Linked DNA regions of Sus scrofa. The protein of the gene in region 3 purifies or fractionates together with the protein of the main gene of each other region. This does not show direct contact. Links are inferred from orthologs where the notes say so. Each region holds a gene or a part of one and is shown on either strand. Other genes may lie near its edges. The genes, in order: SNRPD1, SNRPB2 and SF3B3.

Region 1 (6,552 bases), about 93 Mb from region 3:
AAGAATCCGACTAGGAACCATAAGGTTGCGGGTTCGGTCCCTGCCCTTGCTCAGTGGGTTAACGATCCGGCGTTGCCGTGAGCTGTGGTGTAGGTCGCAGACGTGGCTCGGATCCTGCGTTGCTGTGGCTTTGGCGTAGGTTGGCAGCTACAGCTCCAATTAGACCCCTAGCCTGGGAACCTCCATATGTCGTGGAAGCAGCCCAAGAAACGGCAAAAAGACAAAAACAAAACAAAACAAAACAAAAAAGTTCCCAATAGCTCTATCTCTCCATTCACCTCCAAAAGCAGAGTTCTCTACAGTGACTGATTGGATCAGGCTACATCCCATGCCCACTGTGGACAAGTAATGGAATGTGGTGATTGACATAAGAGTAGAGTCAGCTCCCATATGACCACATGGATCTCTAGGAGATTCTTAGAAACTGTTGGAAAGACAGGGGAATAGGTATTAAGAAAGCAGCACACATATGTACATTAATTGCTTACTACCCAAATGGAGATTCATGGTCTAGGGATTCAGTTCATCTTCATCAACTGAAGTTTTGTTAGAAATGCAGAATTTCAGATCCCATACCAATGGAATCATAATTTTCATTCTAAAGTTTCCTCCAGGTGAGTCTTATGCACATTAATTTTTTTTTTTTTTTTTTTTTTTTGTCTTTTAGCCATTTCTTGAGCCGCTTCCGAGGCACATGGAGGTTTCCAGGCTAGGGGTCGAATCAGAGCTGTAGCTGCCAGCCTACTCCAGAGCCACAGCAACGCAGGATCCGAGCCACGTCTGCGACCTACACCACAGCTCAGGGCAACGCCGGATCGTTAACCCACTGAGCAAGGGCAGGGATCGAACCCGAAACCTCATGGTTCCTAGTCGGATTCGTTAACCACTGCACCACGACGGGAACTCCATTTTTTTTTATGCACATTAATGTTTGATGAGCATTGCCTCACAACATTCAAGAATTCTGATGACCAGGGATGAAGTCCTGAGATACATATTAAAGCTGTGGTTTGGGAGATCACCTAGGCTAAAGGAGAAAGTATCCATGAAGAGACTACGCTGAGGGTAAGCCAAGAAGCACTCCAGCATGTAATGGCTCAGGAGACAATGAGGCAGCCTAAGGAGACCTAGAAAGAGTCATTAGTGAGATTGAATTAAAACCAGGCATACTTGGCATCCTGGAAGCCAAGAAAGGAGCATGTTTCAAAGGAGAGTGTCTGTTTTGAATGCTGCTGAGATGCTGAGTAAGAGGAAGACAGAAGTTTGTATTGGGTTTTTGATCACCATTAGAAAAGCAATCTCAGTGTATTTGAAGATCGAATTACAAGGCAATAAAAACAAGTTATAGACAGCTCATTTAAGGAGGTTTTCTGTGGAAGAAATCTGGTGGGAGCTAGAGCTGCATGAGAGGAGAATTTTTTTTTTTTAAGACCTCACCTGCAGCAAATGGAAGCTTGAATCAGAGCTGCAGCTGAGGCCTACACTACAGCTACGGCAACACTGGATCTGAGCTGCATCTGTGAACTACGCTGCAGCTTGTGGCAACACTGGAGCCGTAACCCACTGAATGAGGCCAGGGATAGATCCCACATCCTCATGAATACTAGTCAGGTTCTTACCCTGCCGAGTTCCCACAACTGGCACTACAAAATTTTTTCTTTCTTCCTTTCCTTTTTTTCTTTTTCCATTTTTGGCCATCTCCGAGGCATATGGAGTTCCCAGACCAGGAATCAGATCCAACCTACAGTTGGAACCCACACTACAGCCAGCTGTAGCAATGCAGGGCTGGACATCAAACCCGCGTCCTGGAGCTGCAGAGATGCTGCCCAATCCTGTTGCGCCACAGTGGGAACTCGTTGCTTGTTTGTTTTTTAGATAAATTTATATGTTGATAGAAAAAATCAGTAGAGAAGGAGGAATTGATGATTCAAATTAGAAGGGGATCATTGAAGGAGTGAAATTCTTGAGGAAATGAGATGGGATCCAGACTACAACCAAGAGGAATTTGCTTTCCAAAGGAGCAATAATACTTCTATCGTTGTCACAGAAAGGGAAGCAGAAGGATGGCTTCTGTTTTCTAAAAGTAGGATACGTTAGAGAGTGATTTGGGAGAAGAACTGTAAAAGGTTTGAGATAAAGAGAAGAAAGAAGGTATGAAATACTTTGTGAGCTTATTAGAGAAGCATAACGATCTCTGGGCAGTGCAAGGGACACTTTTGAGGTTTGTGACCAGAATTTAAAGTGAAAATAATCAGTTAAATTGTATGATTTTCTTCAGCACATTAAGTAACGCTGAGATACCTGGTGGTGGAGCATAATCCTTTGGGATTCTCCAATTATTTCCTTTCATTCACGAGAAAATTTGGTGCTACATAATACCCGGAGCCTTGTTATGCTCGCTAATAGGATTTAATTTCCTGAAATACTCTCTCTTACAGGAAGTTTCCTCCTGGATCGGCCCTAAACGCCCTTAACAGTTGCAAGGCACACCTCCTGCCGCCAGAGGCCGCACTGGCGCTACTCGCGGCCGGAAGGGAGAGTGGCCCAAGCGCAGCCTCGGCGTTTCCGCCGTGAGTGCGCAGGGATCCGCGCGCTCTTTACGTCGATCCCCGGGAGTAAGCGTTTCCGGTCATTCATTCTCCCTGCGGGTCGGCCTCTGCGGTGGGGTTTTGTGTACTATCGGACCGAGAGGATGAAGCTCGTGAGGTGAGGAGGTGACCGAGCAGGGTGGGTACTATGAGGGGATGTCCTGGACCGGGAGCGGGGGGGTTGAGCTGCCCGAGATGCAGGAGGCGCGAAAGCCGCGTGCGCGCGCGGCCTGCTAACGGCCTTCGGCGCCCGCCGCTCCCGCCCCATCTTGGTCGCGTCGCCGCGGGCACTCGACCAGGCTTCAGACTGGGTCGCCCAGGGATCTGCGGGTCTTCCGAGAGGTTGAAGGCCGGGCGGTGTTTTCCCATCAGGTGTCTTAGAGGCCTTAAAAGTACAGAGCCAGGCTTACAAGCTCTTACTTTCGGTGAGTTACAGACTTCCGTTTCTGTTAGAACGTTTCTGGCTCGTCTCAGCACTCAGGAACCGGCAAATTTAACTAGGTCCACGCTTCCTGAGAACGTGGGAGACATAAAAATTGTACATCCTGCACAAGTAGTTTAAATTAATGCATATTTTTTAATGAAACTACCGTCACACTTAAAAGAGTACTTAGAAGCTGCAGGGGTTTATCTGGAGATAATGAAATCCAATTCCGAAGTATTTTAAATCAGGGATCAGGGATGGACTTCTGATTTCCTGAGGTTTTTTTTTTTTTTAATAGTGTTTTTTTTCCCTCTTGTTGTTATTCCCTAGCCTTAAGATTATTCAACTTACATTTCCCTTTAAAATAGCCCTTTGATTTAGGAAAAAACCTCTCAATATGGGGTAGAATCACTCTTCCGTACTTTTTGGCTGATTACACAGATAATCGAGATTTATTCTGTTTATTTCTGTATTTAAATTTGGTCGATTAGTTGAGCCTGCTGAAGACTCGTTTACTGGTTGAGCTAATTCATCACAAAAACTACCTGCAAATAGATTGAGTTCTGATGTTTCTCCTTGAGGCTGAGAGCCTGGAACATAGAAGCAGAGGCTTTTACAACTCAGCCGGCAGTTATAAACTAGCTTAACTAGTTTATTGTCTGTTGAGTCAAGAATTGTCAATGTCGACCAAATAGTTAAGCACATGGAGTTCTTGGACCAGGGAACACATCCTAGCTGCATTTGCAACCTACTCGGCAACTGCAGCAATGCTGGACTGTGCCGGTGGGGATTGAACTGGGGATCGAACCTGCATCCCAGTGCTCCAGAGACGCCAAGAATCCCAGTTGTGCTACAGCAGTAGCCCACCCCCCCCTTAAAGAGTCCTATGTTGTAGTAGCGTTCGTTTTGCAGAGAAGATAGACAAGAAGATAGTTTGAGATAACATAAAGAATCCTCATTGTCATATTCAGGCTGGTGTTTGTAGAGAAGGCATTTAAGATTGACTTTTTGTCTATTTTTTTCCCTTCCAGTTTTATTGAGATGTAACTGGCTTTCAGCATTGTGTAACTTTAAGGTATATAACATAATGATTTTTTTTGGCCGTGCCAAAGGCATGTGGAAGTTCCCAGGCCAGGTATCGAACCTGTGCCATAGCAGCAACCCAAGGCTGCAATGACAACACTGGATTCTTTCTTTATTGACCAGCTGCACCACGAGGGAACTCCCACAGCATAATGATTTGATTTACGTACATCATAAAGAGTGTAGTGAACATCCATCATCTCATGTAGATATAAAATTAAAGAAATAGACAAAAAAATTTTTTTTCTTCTGATGAGAACTCATGATTTACTCTCAACAACTTTAATATATAACATACAGCAGTATTGATTACATTTATCATATTGCATATTACATTTCTAGTTCTTACTTATAACTGAAAGACTTTGTCCATTTTATTTGAGGTATAACTTTGAAGGTAAACATCTCAGAACTTAAAGTTTATTTTTTTTTCTTTTTTTTAGGGTCACATCCACGGCATATGGAAGTTCCCAGGTTAGGGGTCTAATCAGAGCAACAGATGCCAGCCTACGCCACAGCCACAGCAACGCCAGATCCAGCCATGTCTGCAGTCCACACCACAGCTCATGGCAACGCCAGATCCTTAACACACTGATCGAGGCCAGGGATTGAACCTACAACCTCATGGTTCCTAGTCGGATTCATTGTAGCTGTATCCCGACAGGAACTCCTAAAGTTTATTTTCTTAATGTCTGAATACTTGCCAGTCAGAGTCTTAGTATAGATAATACTCTTTGGAGTCTTTTGTCCCACTTAACGATAGTCCATGTTGTGACAGAATTTTCCTATAAAATTTTTTTTTTTTTTTTTTTTTTTTTTTGGTCTTTTCTGGGGCCGCACCTTCGGCATATGGAGGTTCCCAAGTCTAATCATAGATGTAGCCACCGGCCTACGACAGAGCCACAGCAACTTGGGATCCAAGCCGCATCTGTGATCTACACCACAGCTTATGGCAACACCAGATCCTTAATCCACTGAGTGAGGCCAGAGATTGAACCCGAAACCTCATGGTTCCTAGTCGTGTTCGTTAACCACTGCACCACGACAGGAACTCCTCCTATAAATATTAATGCTGTACTGAATCCTATTCTGTGTCTTAGACTATAGAAGCAAAATTCCTAATAATTGGAGAATGTATTTTGCACTGGGAAAATGGGTTTTGTATAACTAGTTTGCTAGGGATCCAGTCTGAGCTATAGCCAATGGCCTGTTCCACAGCCACAGCAACATAGGATCTGAGCTGCGTCTGTGACCTATACCACAGCTCATGGCAACGCCAGATCCTTAACCTACAGCAAGGCCAGCGATGCTAGTTGGGTTCACTAACCGCTAAGCCGTGAGGGGAACTCCTTGACTTAGCTCTCTCAGTAATCCTGATAATGTGATAAATTGCCAGGTTTTGGTGTTTTTAACCTGTTTAATAAAGTATCTCACTATCCTGTTATCTTGATTTTTTAATTTTTGTTTTTTATTTATATTAAAAAAATTTTTTTTTGGTCTTTTTAGGACTGCATCCATGACATACGGAAGTTCCCAGGCTATGGGACGTATCTGAATTCCAGCCACAGCGACTGGAATCCAAGCTTTGTCTGTGATCTATACGGCAACGCTGGATCCTTAACCCACTGAATGAGGCCAGGGATTGAACCTGTAGTAGATACTAGTTGGATTTGTTACCACTGGGCCATGACAAGAACTCCTGATTTTTGAATTTTTAAATAATGTGGCTTTGGATACTGAAGGATACCATTTTGTCCTATTATCTGAGTATTACCTGAATATCTAAATTTCAGTGAGTAGAAAAAATTCAGATAGTGAAGGATTCATCAGAAAATAATTTAGGAGTTCCCACTGTAGCACATAGGGTCAACACCTCCTGTGTTGTCTCTGAGGTGGCCCGAGGTCTCTGCTGAGGCACAGGTTTGATCCCCTGAGCAGTGCAGTGGGTAAAAAGAATCCAGTGTTGCAGTGAGCTGTGGTGTAGGTTGCAGATGCGGCTCAGATTCTGCATTGCTGTGGTTGTGGCATAGGCCATTGGCTACAGCTCCGATTTGACCCCTAGCCTGAGAACTTCCACATGCTGCTGCTGCATAGGTTGCAGCTTCGGCTTGGAATCCATCCCTGGCCTGGGAACCTACCATATGCCATGGGGGTGGCCAAAAAAGAAAGAAAATAATTAGAATCTGTTTAGTTTCTGCACTCAGATAACTCTGTCTGTTTCTCCTGCCCTCAATATACCCTCCCTACAACTCTAACCTATTCAGGCTCCCTTTTCCCCACCCATGGTTTTTACATTTCACATGATGAAATTCAGTGTACATTTCCTGAATTAGAAAAATATATACACCTGTGTAACCCAAACCCTTATCTAGATATTGAACTTTCCCAAACCTCACTTTCTTCAAGCTCTTTGTAGTCAAGTTCTGGTCCCATACCCCTAAAGGGAACCAGATTCTT
Region 2 (6,552 bases), on a different chromosome or scaffold from region 3:
GCCCTGCCCTAAGGCACTGTCACATAGCTAAGTCTCATACCAATTACCTGTCCCAAAACTTTTGCTACAAGTTATGCTGTCATCCAGGTGTGCCTATTTGCAAACTACAACTTCCAATTCAAGGGAATATTTCTTCCCTGGCACCCAAAGAGCCGAAACTACCTCTGTGATCATACCAAAACACCACAGCCCTATCAATTCTCTCTAAAATTGTCCCGTATGGCAAGAAATTGATTTCAGTCTGAAGGGAACAAGTGACATTTTAAAGTAATGCAGGCTTTAAAGCAAGAAATGTGTCACAACCAAGCAGTTCTTTCCCCACCCCACCCCTTTTTAAATGGCCTCACCCATGGCAATGGAAGTTTCTGGACCAGAGATTGAGTCTGAGCCACAACTGCAGCAAAGCCCCATCCTTTATAATCTACTGCACCGGGCCAGGGATCGAACCCATGCCTCCATAGCAATCCAAGCTGCTGCAGTTGGGTTCTTAACCCACTAGGCCACAGCAGGAACTCCCTTTCTTTTACATTAGCTAGAGATGAATGTACAGGAGAATGAGAGGGCAGCAGGCCTCCCAGGACCGCTCAGTCCCAAAGGCTTCCTATGAAAGCTCTAGCCACTAGACCACGGACTTAGCTGTGATCAACTCTTGATAATCCTGCATGTCGTCATCTAATGGAAAGGGACAGGTCTGGACTAACTCTGACTTGGTCCCAAGGATTCCTTCCCAGCTACCCTGGGTCTTTAACCTCCTTGTTGACCTAAACAGATCTTGGGTGGTCTTGTATTTGTCCCTGTGGCCTGAGAATACCTCTGCCCTGAATCCTCGCTTTCAGCAGGCTGGTCTGGAGCAGCAGTTCTCAATCAGGGGAGAATCCGCCCCCAGGAGACAGCTGGCAGTGCTGAAAGGGGGCACAGTGGGTTGTCATGCTAAGAGGGCAGAGGCCAGGGGTGCTCTAGACACCTTACAACCAACAAGGCAGCCCCAGCAACTATTCAGTTCAAATACCCCAAGTATCAGATGCTGAAAAGCCCTGGTCTAGACTAAATCCTGGTATAGGATAAAAGTCCATTCACAACTTAGAGAAGGCGCAAGATTTACATTTATTCCAAAGGTTTCATTACAGAAGCCCTTAGGAAGATGGTTCTGTCTTACTGAGCTACTTTGGAAATTAAATATCCAAATATCCTTGAATCACAGAGCATAATTTTGTTCTGAGTTCCAAGTTATATAAATTTTTGTTCATTTCTAATCTGGTATGTTGAGTTAAAGAGCAACTGAAACCACCTAAGTAAAGACAGCTCAAGGAACATTCTTTTCCTTTTCCAGGATGCTGGCGACTTGGCAGCAACTACTACTTTCCTAAAGGCAGAGAATGGACCTCCTAAAATACCTTCAATATGAGATCAGTCTAATGGGCTTTTTCCATTGATTTTAAAAATTTAGTTGGCAAGGTGAAGCCAGGGCCAAACACAGTGAACAATTTTCAGCTTTCCTGGATCTGAGTCAGTCATGCAACCTTGTCATCCCAACTTAGCAAAACAGACCTAAAAACCTCAAGAGGAAAAAACCGTTCCTTCATTCTAATGTAGTTTTAGATTTTAACTAAAACCCAGTCCTATGCTACCACCAAGTGAGATCTCAAGTATGCTATTTTTTCATACTACTGAGAAAGATAAACTGCTTTCAGGAAATGCCAATTAACCGAAAATCAGGGAACGTGGGTCCTACCTCCCAGTTTTCTGGAATGGGACTTTCTACAAATACGGTGCCCAGTCAGGTGGGAAATGATGGGGAAAGGAGAACTGGATAGAGGGTGAGAAGAAAACTTGCTCCAGTAAAACAGAAAGTTCCCAGGCCTGAATTACACAGTGTGGGATAGAGGTCCTCAGACTAACTGACCACAGCCAGCGCTGCCTGTTTTGCACATGAGGTCTTCTTGGAACATGGCCACACTCATTCACCTACCACCATCTATGGCCATAAAGGCAAAGTTAAGTGGCTGCAAAAGAGATCATCTGGCTCATAAAGCCTAAAATATTTACTATCCGGTCCTTTACAGAGAGCATGCTGAATCCTTGTTTAGGGGAGAAAAAAAAAGTCACAGTACTGAGTGTTAGATTAGCCCTTAAATCTTCATACTACTACTGGTATTATTAACATAAGCTTTCTGTGCCTGATTCTTCATTTGTAAAAATAAAGGGATCAGACCAGTGGTCTAAACTACAAGTTATGGGCCAAATCCAGCCTATAACCTGTTTTTGTATGGTCTATGAGTTAAGAACTTTTTTTTTTAAAGGCCACTCCCGCAGCATATGGAAGGTACCAGGCTAGGGGTCAAATCAGAGCTACAGCCACAGCAACTTGGGATTCGAGCTGCATCTGTGACCCATACTACAGCTCATAGCAATGCCAGATCCCTGACCCACTGAGTGAGGCCAGGGATCGAATCCGCATCCTCATGGATACTAGTCGGATTCGTTTCTGCTGTGCCACGACAGGAATGGCAGAAAACTTTTATTTCTTTTTCATTTTTTACAATTTTAAATGATTGTTTTAAAAAAAACCAACAACACACACTCACAAAAGAATAGGCAGCAGAATCTGTACATGGCCCACAAAGCCTAAAATATTTATTACTGGTCCTTTATAGAATTTTTGTTCACCTATGAATAAGAGCAAAGAATATCCAATCTGCTTACATTTTACAGGTGGTGAACGTGTGCACAGAACCAGTTAACAGCAGAACCAGAATGAGAACATGGGTCCTTGAAACTGCAGGACTTGGCTCTTTCCCCAACATCCCTACCCATCACATTCCAATTCCAGTAGAAAAGCACTTGGGAATCCATACCCAGGGTCCTCTGTACGCATTCACAAAGGTAAAACCCTTTGCTACATGCACTGTTCCAACCTAATCCAACCCTCTACCAACTTTGACTTATACCAACGCCTCCTGAGTTCTCTAGTTCCCTTCAATCCCTACCACCATCCAATCTTCACCCAGCAGCTAAATGTGAAATCTCATTATATCACTCCTGAGTTTAAAACTTTCCATATATAACTACTTCATTTCCATTCATTGTCACCCATTAATAAAACCTATGACTTTAAGTCTATGAAGTGTCTTTAGATCACTGCTTTATCTAGATTGCACAGCTTCTGATATACAGTATTTAATTATGGTATTTTCTGAAACTTCAGACTGGATTTCTCTTTGACCTACAATTTTGTTTGTGTTTTACGAGTTTACGAACAGAGGTTTCTTTTTAATCTTCTGAGTAATTATTAATTTCTAGATCTTTTGAGAGGACAGTATTGCCTATACTAACACTGCTTTTAAAATATTCTACATCTCAATGTATTTTGCTTTTGGCTATTTGAACTATCATAAATTAAGTGGTGACTTATAAGCTCTTCTACTACTGTGTTCCTATAAAAATAAATACATAAATAAAATAAGCCCTAACCCACTCTAACATGTAGTTAAAAGCAAAAAACAAGCCATATTTTCAGGGGTGTATTTACAAATCTACCATTTCATTAATAGTGAACAAAGCCAAAATAGTAAGATTGATTTACCATCGGTTTGCCATAAAATGGAAATCCTTGTAACTGTCTCAAGGCATTTGTGGATGAACCCAGTTCCTTAAATATAACAAAGGCTTGCCCCCTCATCTTCATGGTCTTTAAAGCCACAATATCTACCACATGGCCAAACTGAGAAAACAGGGCATACAGGGATCTCTTCAATTCTGCACAAAATTAGAGAGAAACCAGTTATTTGTCAATGAAATGATGACAAGATTCTTCATAAAATGACACTGCACGCACCCCTGCCATTCCCTTATTTATTTATACAAAGTTACATTTTTTAATAAAAATATCATACTATTCACATTGGCTGTCTAATTTTACAAGTTTTTAAAATCATTTGATCTATGAGTGAAAACAAATTCCACACATTTTCAGCCCCCTACTTTTTATCTTTAAAAAGCCTTAAAATCCCCATGCATTAAGGGATAAACCATTATTTCAGGCACTGAGAAAGAGGACTAGATGAGAACTTTTGAAGCAGTTTAATTTTTAAGATGGTGTAAGTAAACACACTTTAGTTACTTTTTAAAAAGCACTTACCTTCTTTTTTAATTTTGTCGTTCATATTGTTGATATAAATTGTATGATTTGGTCTGATATCCATGTTTTGAGTTAAACTGTTCAAACAGCCTAAAGAGATGGTAAATATTCTGTTATAAACAGGGAGAATTCATTGCGTGGTGGTGTGGAATTAAGGACACAAGGTTAACTTTGCAATCTTTTCAATTCCAAATGTCAGAAAATATCAGTTTGGCAACAGTCTAAAACTTCTCCAGAACTTACTAGCCTTTCTCTTGAAATAAAACAAGAACAGTTCTCAGGCTGAAAACTTGGTGGGGCACTATTACCTAGTCAGATTTTAATAATATTCTTTTATTCCACACATTTATTTTTATACTTATCTTTCACTTACAAGTGATACTGTTTTTCCACCTGTTTTTCATTAGTGAAATAATTTTAAAACTTTGTTAAAAAGGAAAAGTAGATTTGAAGAAAAATGAAAAAAGAACTAGCAAATGTACGTCCAGTAAAAATCAAGACGGAACAATAATGAAATTTGCTAAGAACTATTTCACGGGCACTTTCATATTTACTACTTAATTTATATACACCATCACCAACAGTCTTGCCTTGCCTCCAAAGTCACCTGTAACCGACCTGAAATACCAGAGCGGTTGCAAGATGGTTGAGAGCTCAGAATCTAGAGCCAGCCAGATCTGAATTCACGTATGTCTATGCTTCCTACTACCTGCTTGACTGAGGACAAATTACTTAATCTCCCAGGTCCACTCTGAAAAAATGAGATGGGAACAGAATCTACCCAGTAGAGTTTATTTATCTAAATGAGATAAAGTTCTAGCAACACGTTATTAATTTCTATCACAAGCTAATACCTACTTTGTATACATGTAGTCACACAGCTGATTAAACCAGAGATCTGAGAATTCAACCCTTGCTTTCTGTCTCTTGTACTTTTCTTTCACACCCACCACACTATTATTTACAGTTTCAGTTGCAAATTTTGACCTTTATTTTCTTATTGCCCCAGATATTCCTTCATTTCATGAATATTTACACCCACGGTATGTGAACAGCCTAGGTCGACTGACAAGAGCATACAGATGGGGACTGTACTCGTACGTTAACAGGTGAAAGGTAACGGTTCTCAGAGACTTGCGAACCCCTAAACTGACACTGGAAGTCTGGGGCCGCGAAGAAAGCCGGAAGACTAGAGGAGAGGCTCTCGTATTATCTCACGCGATGTTTTACGGAAAGTAGGACTAGCGCCGGGGCACCGGGGTCGCCTCCCTGATCCAAAAGTAAGCCTCCGGCAGGCACCTGAAAATCCAAAGCGAGCCGTAAGGCCCTCACAGCAACCAAGGGACACCAGTTATCCATAACTTCATATGCGCGAGCCTCTCGCCTTTCCAGACCGAGTCACATTCGCCCACGGCCCAGGCCTGAAGCCCCAAGAAGCCGCCACGCGATCTCCGGCCCCGACCCATCCCGCTAAGAGACAAGGTTCCGAAGTCCGGGGACCTCGTCGGACCCGCGCATCAGTTTCCATCCCCCCTCGACCCCTCGGCGACCCTCCCCGAACTCCCGACAGCCAACCATTCAGCCCCAGCACCGCGTTTCGTCCATCCCCTGCTCCAGCAGGGGAGCGTGGTGCCAAGAGGAATCCGCAAGCCCGAAAACGAAGAAAGCGAGGAAGAAAGAGCCTCAACTCACCCCAGACGGTCGCCGCGTCCAGTGCAACCAGGAAACTGGAAGCCGGAAGTGGGGCCGGGCGCCGGAAGTAACACTGCCAAGCGCCTCAATCGAGTACCGACAAATCAAGAAGTCGAGCCCGGAGTGGATCGATAAGCCACAGTCTCCAAGGCGGCAGTTGAGAATCCTTCCGCGCACACGCACGTCTCTCTGGCTGGAAGAAGAGGTGAGAGGGGATGTGGGAGAAGCGAAAGAGGCTTGTGAGGAATGCTGTGGGATTAAACTGGAATCGTGGGACCGCTGAGAAAGGGAACAGCGAAAGGCAGTGATTCATTTACCCATGAGTTTGCGTTGGTCTATCCCATACAACAGGTGCCTTCTGTCTTTCCAAATGCTTTACAGATCTTTACATATAGTTACGTCCTGACAAGCCCATCTGTAAATTGAAAACTTTGTAAGACGCAAATGCACTTAATACGCTTAACTTGCCATACATCACAACTTATTAGCCCAGCCTACCTGAAGTGCTCAGAACCCTCACATTAACCTACAGTTGCACAAAATCATCTCGTGTAACTCAGTGAATATTGTACTGAAAGTGCAAAACACAGTGGTAGTGTGGCTCACCCTTGTGGTCCCATAGTGGCTGGGAGCTTTGGCTTGCTGTCCAGCATCAGGACACTGTGTCTACCGCATATCAAAAGCCTAGAAAAAGATCAAAATTCAAAATTTAAAGTCTGGTT
Region 3 (6,552 bases):
GCATGGTCAAAAGGAACCCTAAGCATTATCTAATCCAACCACTTAGCTAAAGGGTAAATCCCACTTCAAATGTCTTCTTTCCTTTCACTAAACTCCTATAGAACTTTAACAAACAATACTTCATTTTTGCACTTATCAAATTAAATAATGTTACCTTATGTGTATCTTATTCCATCTAGGAGATGAACACCACGGAGGGAGAAAAGAAACCTTTATTCAATTTCATTGGCAAAATGCCTCACACAGGAAGGCATTTAAAATATAAAGGATAGGGAGTTCCTGTCATGGTTCAGCAGAAACAAATCTGACTAGTAACCATGGGGACCCAGGTTTGATCCCTGGCTTCATTCACTGGGTTAAGGATCTGGTGTTGCTGTGAGCTGTGGCGTAGGCTGGTGGCTACAGCTCTGATTTGACCCCTAGCCTGGGAATTTCCATATGCTGCGGCTGTAGCCCTAAAAAAGGGAAAAACAAACAAAAACCAAAACTAATATTGTTCTGTCTGTAAGATCAACTTAATTTTTTTCCTAACATACTGACCGATTCAATGAATGCAAGCTTAGGAATGTTAAGAGTATTGAATTTTATAAAGTACATCTTGCTGAAAAGTCTATCGGCATTGGTATAAATTAATACTTGAAAACTCTCAAAGAGAGTTCCCGCCGTGGCTCAGTGGAAATGAATCTGACTAGGATCCATGAGGATGCAGGTTCCATCCCTGGCCTCCCTCAGTGGGTTAAGGATCTGGTGTTGTCACTGCAGTGGTTTGGGTTGCTGCTGTGAGGGGATTTGACCCTTGGCCTGGGAACTTCTACATAGAGTGGGTGTAGCAAAAAAAAAAAAAAAAGTACTGACGGGAGATCCTGTTGTGGCTCAGCAGTTAACAAACCTGACTAGCATCCATGAGGATGCGGGTTTGATCCCCGAACTCAAACAGTGGGTTAAGGATCCAGCAGTGCCAGTGACCTGTGGTGTAGGTCACAGACACCGCTTGGATCTAGCATTGCTGTGGTGTGGCATAGGCAGCAGCTACAGCTCCGATTCCACCCCTAGCCTGGGAACTTCCATATGCCGCGGGTTCAGCCCGAAAAAGTAAAAAAAAAAAAAAAAAAAGTACTGACAGCATTAAGTTTCATGGAAAAGTGAGGAAGGCTGCTGGACATAATATAGCCAGTGCCCCTGGTTTGACGCTATGCAGGGGTAGCTACAAGAACTGAAATAACTTATTCACGATTAGACAGTTGTTTCTGAGTTTTAACATCTCAAGATTCTACAAAGCCCTGCATTGAACTGAAACGCTAAAATTACACCCCCAAATCATTTCCCACAGTAGAAAGTCTTAAAACGCTTTGTTTATTTACAATGATTTCTTGCTGAAATGAGGTAAGGTGAAAGCGTTTCATCACTTTAAAATTTATAAGCCCTTACAACAAAGCCTTTATTCTTATTATGAAAAGCAAGCGTGTGAGGAGATGCCCTTAAGTCTAACTTTAGGACCGCGGAGAAATCTAATGATTAAGGGCCAGGGAAATCAACAGGGGGCGGGGCAGATCGCCCAGACAACACGAAAATATGCTTGGGGGCATCAGACGGAGATGTCGGATCGCCCCAATTACATTCAACCACACTCCTGCTTCTCGAGTAGATGCTTTTTTTGTTTCCTCGTAAAGAAAAGAACTTCCCACAGCCCTGATTTCCCAAGAATGACGGCTCCTAGGCCCACTGCCCCTGTATCCTCCTGGAAAGAGAAGCTCAGCCCCCCACCTCCTCGCCGCAGAGCCGTTCGTACACAGCCTCCAGCTCCTGAAGCTCAGTCAGAGAGCGAATGAGCTCTGTGGAGATTTCCGAGCAGCGGCCTCCTCCCACGCCTTCAGGCGGCGGAGGCACCCCTGACAGCTTCTGAGGAGAATCGAGGTCCGCCATCTTGATTCCCATTCCGCGCTTCCGGCCCTGGGAGGCCCCCTCCTCGTAGGCGCGCCACGTCCTTGGGGCTGCCCACGGGAGTGCCTAGTGAATTTGTATATATGTTTTTAAAAGCCTACTTAAAAAGGTCTATTAATTCCCTATTTTCCTGGGAAAAGTGACAGTCATAAAAATATGTTTAAGTAATTTTTCGTGCGGCGTGGAAGCAAGACTGAAGCATTAAAGAGATTTATATGTACATTCTTCAGGCGCCGGTTGAGGACCTTTTTTCCGTCGCGCGCCAATCGGAAGGTCCCTGTTTTAGGAGCTAATGGCGGATGCCGGCGGCTTGGGCTTAGCGGCGGATTAGGCCTTGAGGGGACTGAGGATCTGTTGGATATCTGCGCCATCCTCCTGGCTTCAGGGTAAAGAAGCAGCTTTCTGACCTCCCTAGGCCTGAAGAGGTGGAGAGCGGCCATGTAGAAGGGTGGGCCGAGCCTTTTGTAAGGGTTTCTGAGAGAGTTTAGGCCCGAGGACTATGGGCAAGCGTCTAGGAGGTGATGGAGGGGAACGCAGGAGGGCAGCTTCACGAACTTGTGTTTCGCGACCGTTCGCACTGTGGGAACTAAGCCTAGCTCAAAATAAGCTTTCTAGAGACTGCGTAGCTTTTAGGCTTTGGGGGAGATGTAAGAAGGGGCGGGAGAGACGTTTTCCACTGGAGAAAGTAAACGGCACACCGACGGGGAGGTGAAAGATCAAGGGTGTTAAAAGTGTCAAGGACGGAAACAGTCTTTGAAATCTAGACCCTTTGTATTTGTGCTTTGGTGCTTGGGCAACTCATTTCCTTCTTTGATCCTCAGTTTATCGCTTGCAAAAATGGGGATAATTATATCTATCTTGAAGACTTTGCAGAGTTTAAATGCGGTGATGTTCTTCTCGTACATGGAGAAGGGGTGGAGGAGCAATCACAGGCTCATTTCCTAATATTCATAGACAGCAGGTAGAATTGGGGGAAATCAAAATTTACCAAGTTTTGGTCGTTACTAGTTTCCGGTATGTAGTGCTTGGTTGATCTTCCTCTGAAATGCAATTTCCCTTGTTACCCAAGATAAAAGAATAGTTGGGGAACCTGGGTCCAGCTAGGTTTTGGGAAAATAAATTCCAAAGTTTGTACTAGATGCTGTTAGTTGTAAAGGAACTAGAAAGTAGGCTGAGTTTTTCAGTAAGTTATAAAGGGCGAAAAGTAGCCTAGGAGAAGGTTTTCCAAGCTTCCGAAGTGGTCTTTGGTTTCCTATGTTTGTTTTCTGAAAGATTCTGTATCTTTCATACAGTCAACCCTACAATATAGATCACATTCACAACAAGGTAGGGGTTTCGTTGTAAATTTTGTTCTTGATAACTGCAAGTTTGAAATTATGTTTGAAATTTTATAACTGGAGTGAGATGCAAGAGAATAAATTATGTCTGAGACTCCATTCAACTTTTCTCATTTAACAAAACCAAATTTGCATGCTAATTACAGATACAATTGTAAGCTTTGAACTTCTCGAGATTCTTTGCTTTTGTCTCTGAATAATTGAGGGAAAATAGTTCAGTTTATTTTCCAGTGGTAAATGTATAGGTACTTTTATGGTGAAGATACCTCAGTTTGCAGTCTTGAGTCCTAAGAAGAATCCTTTTCTTTGTATATTCTTTTGTGGAGGCTTCATTCTGGGGTCGCATTTCGGTTTTTAGTTTTTGATGATACATAAGTTTAAATTCTAAATTTTAGTCACTCCTTAAATATAGAGCTGTATAGGAGATGCAAATGAAAACTACACTTAAGTTACCAGTTTTTTGTTTGTTTGTTTTGCTTTTTAGGGCTGCACCCAAGCAGCATATGGAGGTTCCCAGGCTAGGGGATCTAATTGGAGCCATTTCTGTGGCCTGCACCACAGCTCCACAGCAACTCTGGATCCTTAACCCACTGAGCAAGGCCAGGGATCAGAACCCGAAACCTCATGGTTCCTAGTTGGATTCATTAACCACTGAGCCACGATGGAAACTCCCAAGTTACCAGTTTTTATCTGTTAAATCAGCAGAGGTCTGGTTGTGGAGAATTATAGAGACCCATATATTGCTGGAGATATATTGGTAGAGCTTCTTTGGAAGGTAATTTGACACTGTCTCTGAATTTCAAATATATGAGGTCCTCAATCCTGAAATTGGATTTCTAGCAGTTAATCTTAGAGATACTGTTAATGCACTTATAAATGGTCTGTATATGAGTGATTTTCTTTGTAGCAGTGTTTATAATTGCAAGAGATCGGGAAGAACCTAAATGTTCCTCAGGAGAGTGTTGGCTAAATAAATCCTAATAGATGCATTCAGTGGAATACTCCACAGCCTTAATATAAAAATGAGAAAACATTTTGCTTACTGCTATGTCCAAGATAGGTAAAGTAATTAAAAACAGTTGCACCATAATGTGAGTGTATGATTTATGGTACCCAACCTTTAGTTAAATAGAAGGGATAAAATACAGCGTTAATGTATGTTTTTTTTTTGTACATACAGAAAATATCTGTAAGGACACGGTATAACTTGGTGAAATTGATTCGTCCAGGGAGGAAAAACTGGATGGCTAGGGCATGGGTGGAGTGAGCTTTTTGCTGTGCTTTTGAATTCTGAACCACGTGAAAGTAGAGCCTATTCAAATACAAGTAAATATAGATCTATGTGGTTTTGAGACAGTAAAATCAAATGGTGTTGGATTAATGGTACAGATTCCAGCTCCCAATGTTTTTACTACTACTACTTCTTCTTTTTTTTTTTTTTTTTTTTTTTTTGTCTTTTTAGAGCAGCACCCGTGGCATATGGAGGTTACCAGGCTAGGGGTCGAATTGGAGCTACAGCTGCTGGCCAACGCCAGATCTGAGCCGCCTCTTCGACCTATACCACAGCTCACAGCAGCGCCGGATCCTTAAACCCACTGAGCGAGGCGAGGGATCGAACCTGAAACCTCATGGTTCCTAGTCAGATTCGTGAACCACTGAGCCACGACGGGCACTCCTGTTTTTACTACTTATGTAATCTCAAGGAGACAATTTAATTTCTTTTTTTTTTTTAATTAAAGAATAGTTGATTTACGGTGTACTTTTTCAGCTCAATTTCATCTGTAAAATTAGTATAATGAATACTTTATATGTGTCTTGTGAGATTAGAAACAGTATGATTGATGGAACATTGTAAATCAACTATAATAAAAATTTTTTTAAAAAAAGAAACAGTATGAAGCATAGTGCCTGACATGTAGAAGGCACTCTGTTTTTTGTTTTTTTTTTTTTTTGACCACACCTGCGTCTTGTGGAAGTTCCCAGACCAGGGATCAAACACTTGCCACAGCAGTGACCCAAGCTGCTGCAGTGAAAATGAAGTAGAAGGTACTCTTAATTATAAGTAATGTTGTATGTCTTACTTTATTAGTTACGCTGTCTTCACCTAGAAGTTCCCATACGGAAATGTCTGTTAAAATAATTTCAAAGCTGGTATTTTTCTGCTTTTATGTGCTTTTAGCTTGCTTGGACTTGGTTATAATCAAGGCCTGGATTGTGGAGCTATAGGTGGCTCAGTATTACTGCCACCATGTTCCTGTACAACTTGACCTTGCAGCGAGCCACTGGCATCAGCTTTGCCATTCATGGAAACTTCTCTGGTAAGTTCTGCTACTATCTGAGTTTAAAATTTTTTTTTTTTTTTTTGTCTTTTGCTATTTCTTTGGGCCGCTCCCGCGGCATATGGAGGTTCCCAGGCTAGGGGTCGAATTGGAGCTGTAGCCACCGGCCTATGCCAGAGCCACAGCAACGCGGGATCCAAGCCGCGCCTGCGACCTACACCACAGCTCACGGCAACGCCGGATCGTTAACCCACTGAGCAAGGGCAGGGACCGAACCCGCAACCTCATGGTTCCTAGTCGGATTCGTTAACCACTGCGCCACGATGGGAACTCCTAAAATTTTTGATATTAGTAGTTTTGCCTCAAATTGCCTTTTTTTTTCTTTTTTTGGTGCGGCAGTTTTAAAAGTTCTTTGAGACACTTTATCAGAGTTAATATGATTTCTTAGAGCAGTTACCTTAAAGGTGGGCTAGAAGGTGCCTTTGAAAGTTTTTAATTTTATGAAGTTAAACATATGTATTACAGACAACTTAATTATGCTGATTGATGGCAAATCTTAGAGGAAAAAAAAAGTGTGTGTGTGTGTTTAAATGGACATACCTGTGACATTTGGACGTTCCCCTGCCAGGGATTGAATCTTGAGCCACACCTTGACCTACACCATAGCTGTGACAACAGCAGATCCTTTAACCCACTGTGCTGGGGAATCAAACCTGAGCCTCTGCAGCGACCTCAGCTGCTGCAGTTGGATTCTTAACTCACTGTGCCTCAGTGGGAACTCCCAAGAACAAGGTTTTTTTTAAAAAAAAAAACAACAAAACTTGCGTGACTGTTTTTAGGAAGCTTTTCTTTGATACTGCTTTTGTTAGATGACTTAAATTCTAGGAAAATTACCCTTTTTTTAGTGCTACATCCACAGCATATGGAAGTTCCCAGGCTAGGGGTTGAATCAGAGCTGCAGCTGCTGGCCTTTGCCACAACCACAGCAATGCCAG

Evidence for each region.
Region 1: the proteins of SF3B3 (region 3) and SNRPD1 fractionate together in Homo sapiens (co-fractionation; 4 studies listed by BioGRID and IntAct, with this or other methods). This does not show direct contact. The link is inferred for Sus scrofa from reciprocal best matches to the Homo sapiens genes SF3B3 and SNRPD1.
Region 2: the proteins of SF3B3 (region 3) and SNRPB2 purify together in Homo sapiens (affinity purification with mass spectrometry; 4 studies listed by BioGRID and IntAct, with this or other methods). This does not show direct contact. The link is inferred for Sus scrofa from reciprocal best matches to the Homo sapiens genes SF3B3 and SNRPB2.

The regions. Positions count from the first base shown.
Region 1 is NC_010448.4:106,795,653-106,802,204, forward strand, and holds the start of SNRPD1 (small nuclear ribonucleoprotein Sm D1), read left to right. Parts: upstream 1-2,548; 5' UTR 2,549-2,692; coding exon 2,693-2,706; exon of another isoform or gene 2,707-2,727; intron 2,728-2,938; exon of another isoform or gene 2,939-3,013; intron 3,014-6,552. UniProt on the Homo sapiens protein: Plays a role in pre-mRNA splicing as a core component of the spliceosomal U1, U2, U4 and U5 small nuclear ribonucleoproteins (snRNPs), the building blocks of the spliceosome.
Region 2 is NC_010459.5:25,362,481-25,369,032, reverse strand, and holds the start of SNRPB2 (uncharacterized protein LOC768116), read right to left. Parts: upstream 4,203-6,552; coding exon 4,139-4,202; intron 3,757-4,138; coding exon 3,584-3,756; intron 1-3,583. UniProt on the Homo sapiens protein: Involved in pre-mRNA splicing as component of the spliceosome. Associated with sn-RNP U2, where it contributes to the binding of stem loop IV of U2 snRNA.
Region 3 is NC_010448.4:13,522,501-13,529,052, forward strand, and holds the start of SF3B3 (splicing factor 3B subunit 3), read left to right. Parts: upstream 1-2,018; 5' UTR 2,019-2,327; intron 2,328-2,367; exon of another isoform or gene 2,368-2,389; intron 2,390-3,233; exon of another isoform or gene 3,234-3,267; intron 3,268-5,457; 5' UTR 5,458-5,526; coding exon 5,527-5,596; intron 5,597-6,552. UniProt on the Homo sapiens protein: Component of the 17S U2 SnRNP complex of the spliceosome, a large ribonucleoprotein complex that removes introns from transcribed pre-mRNAs.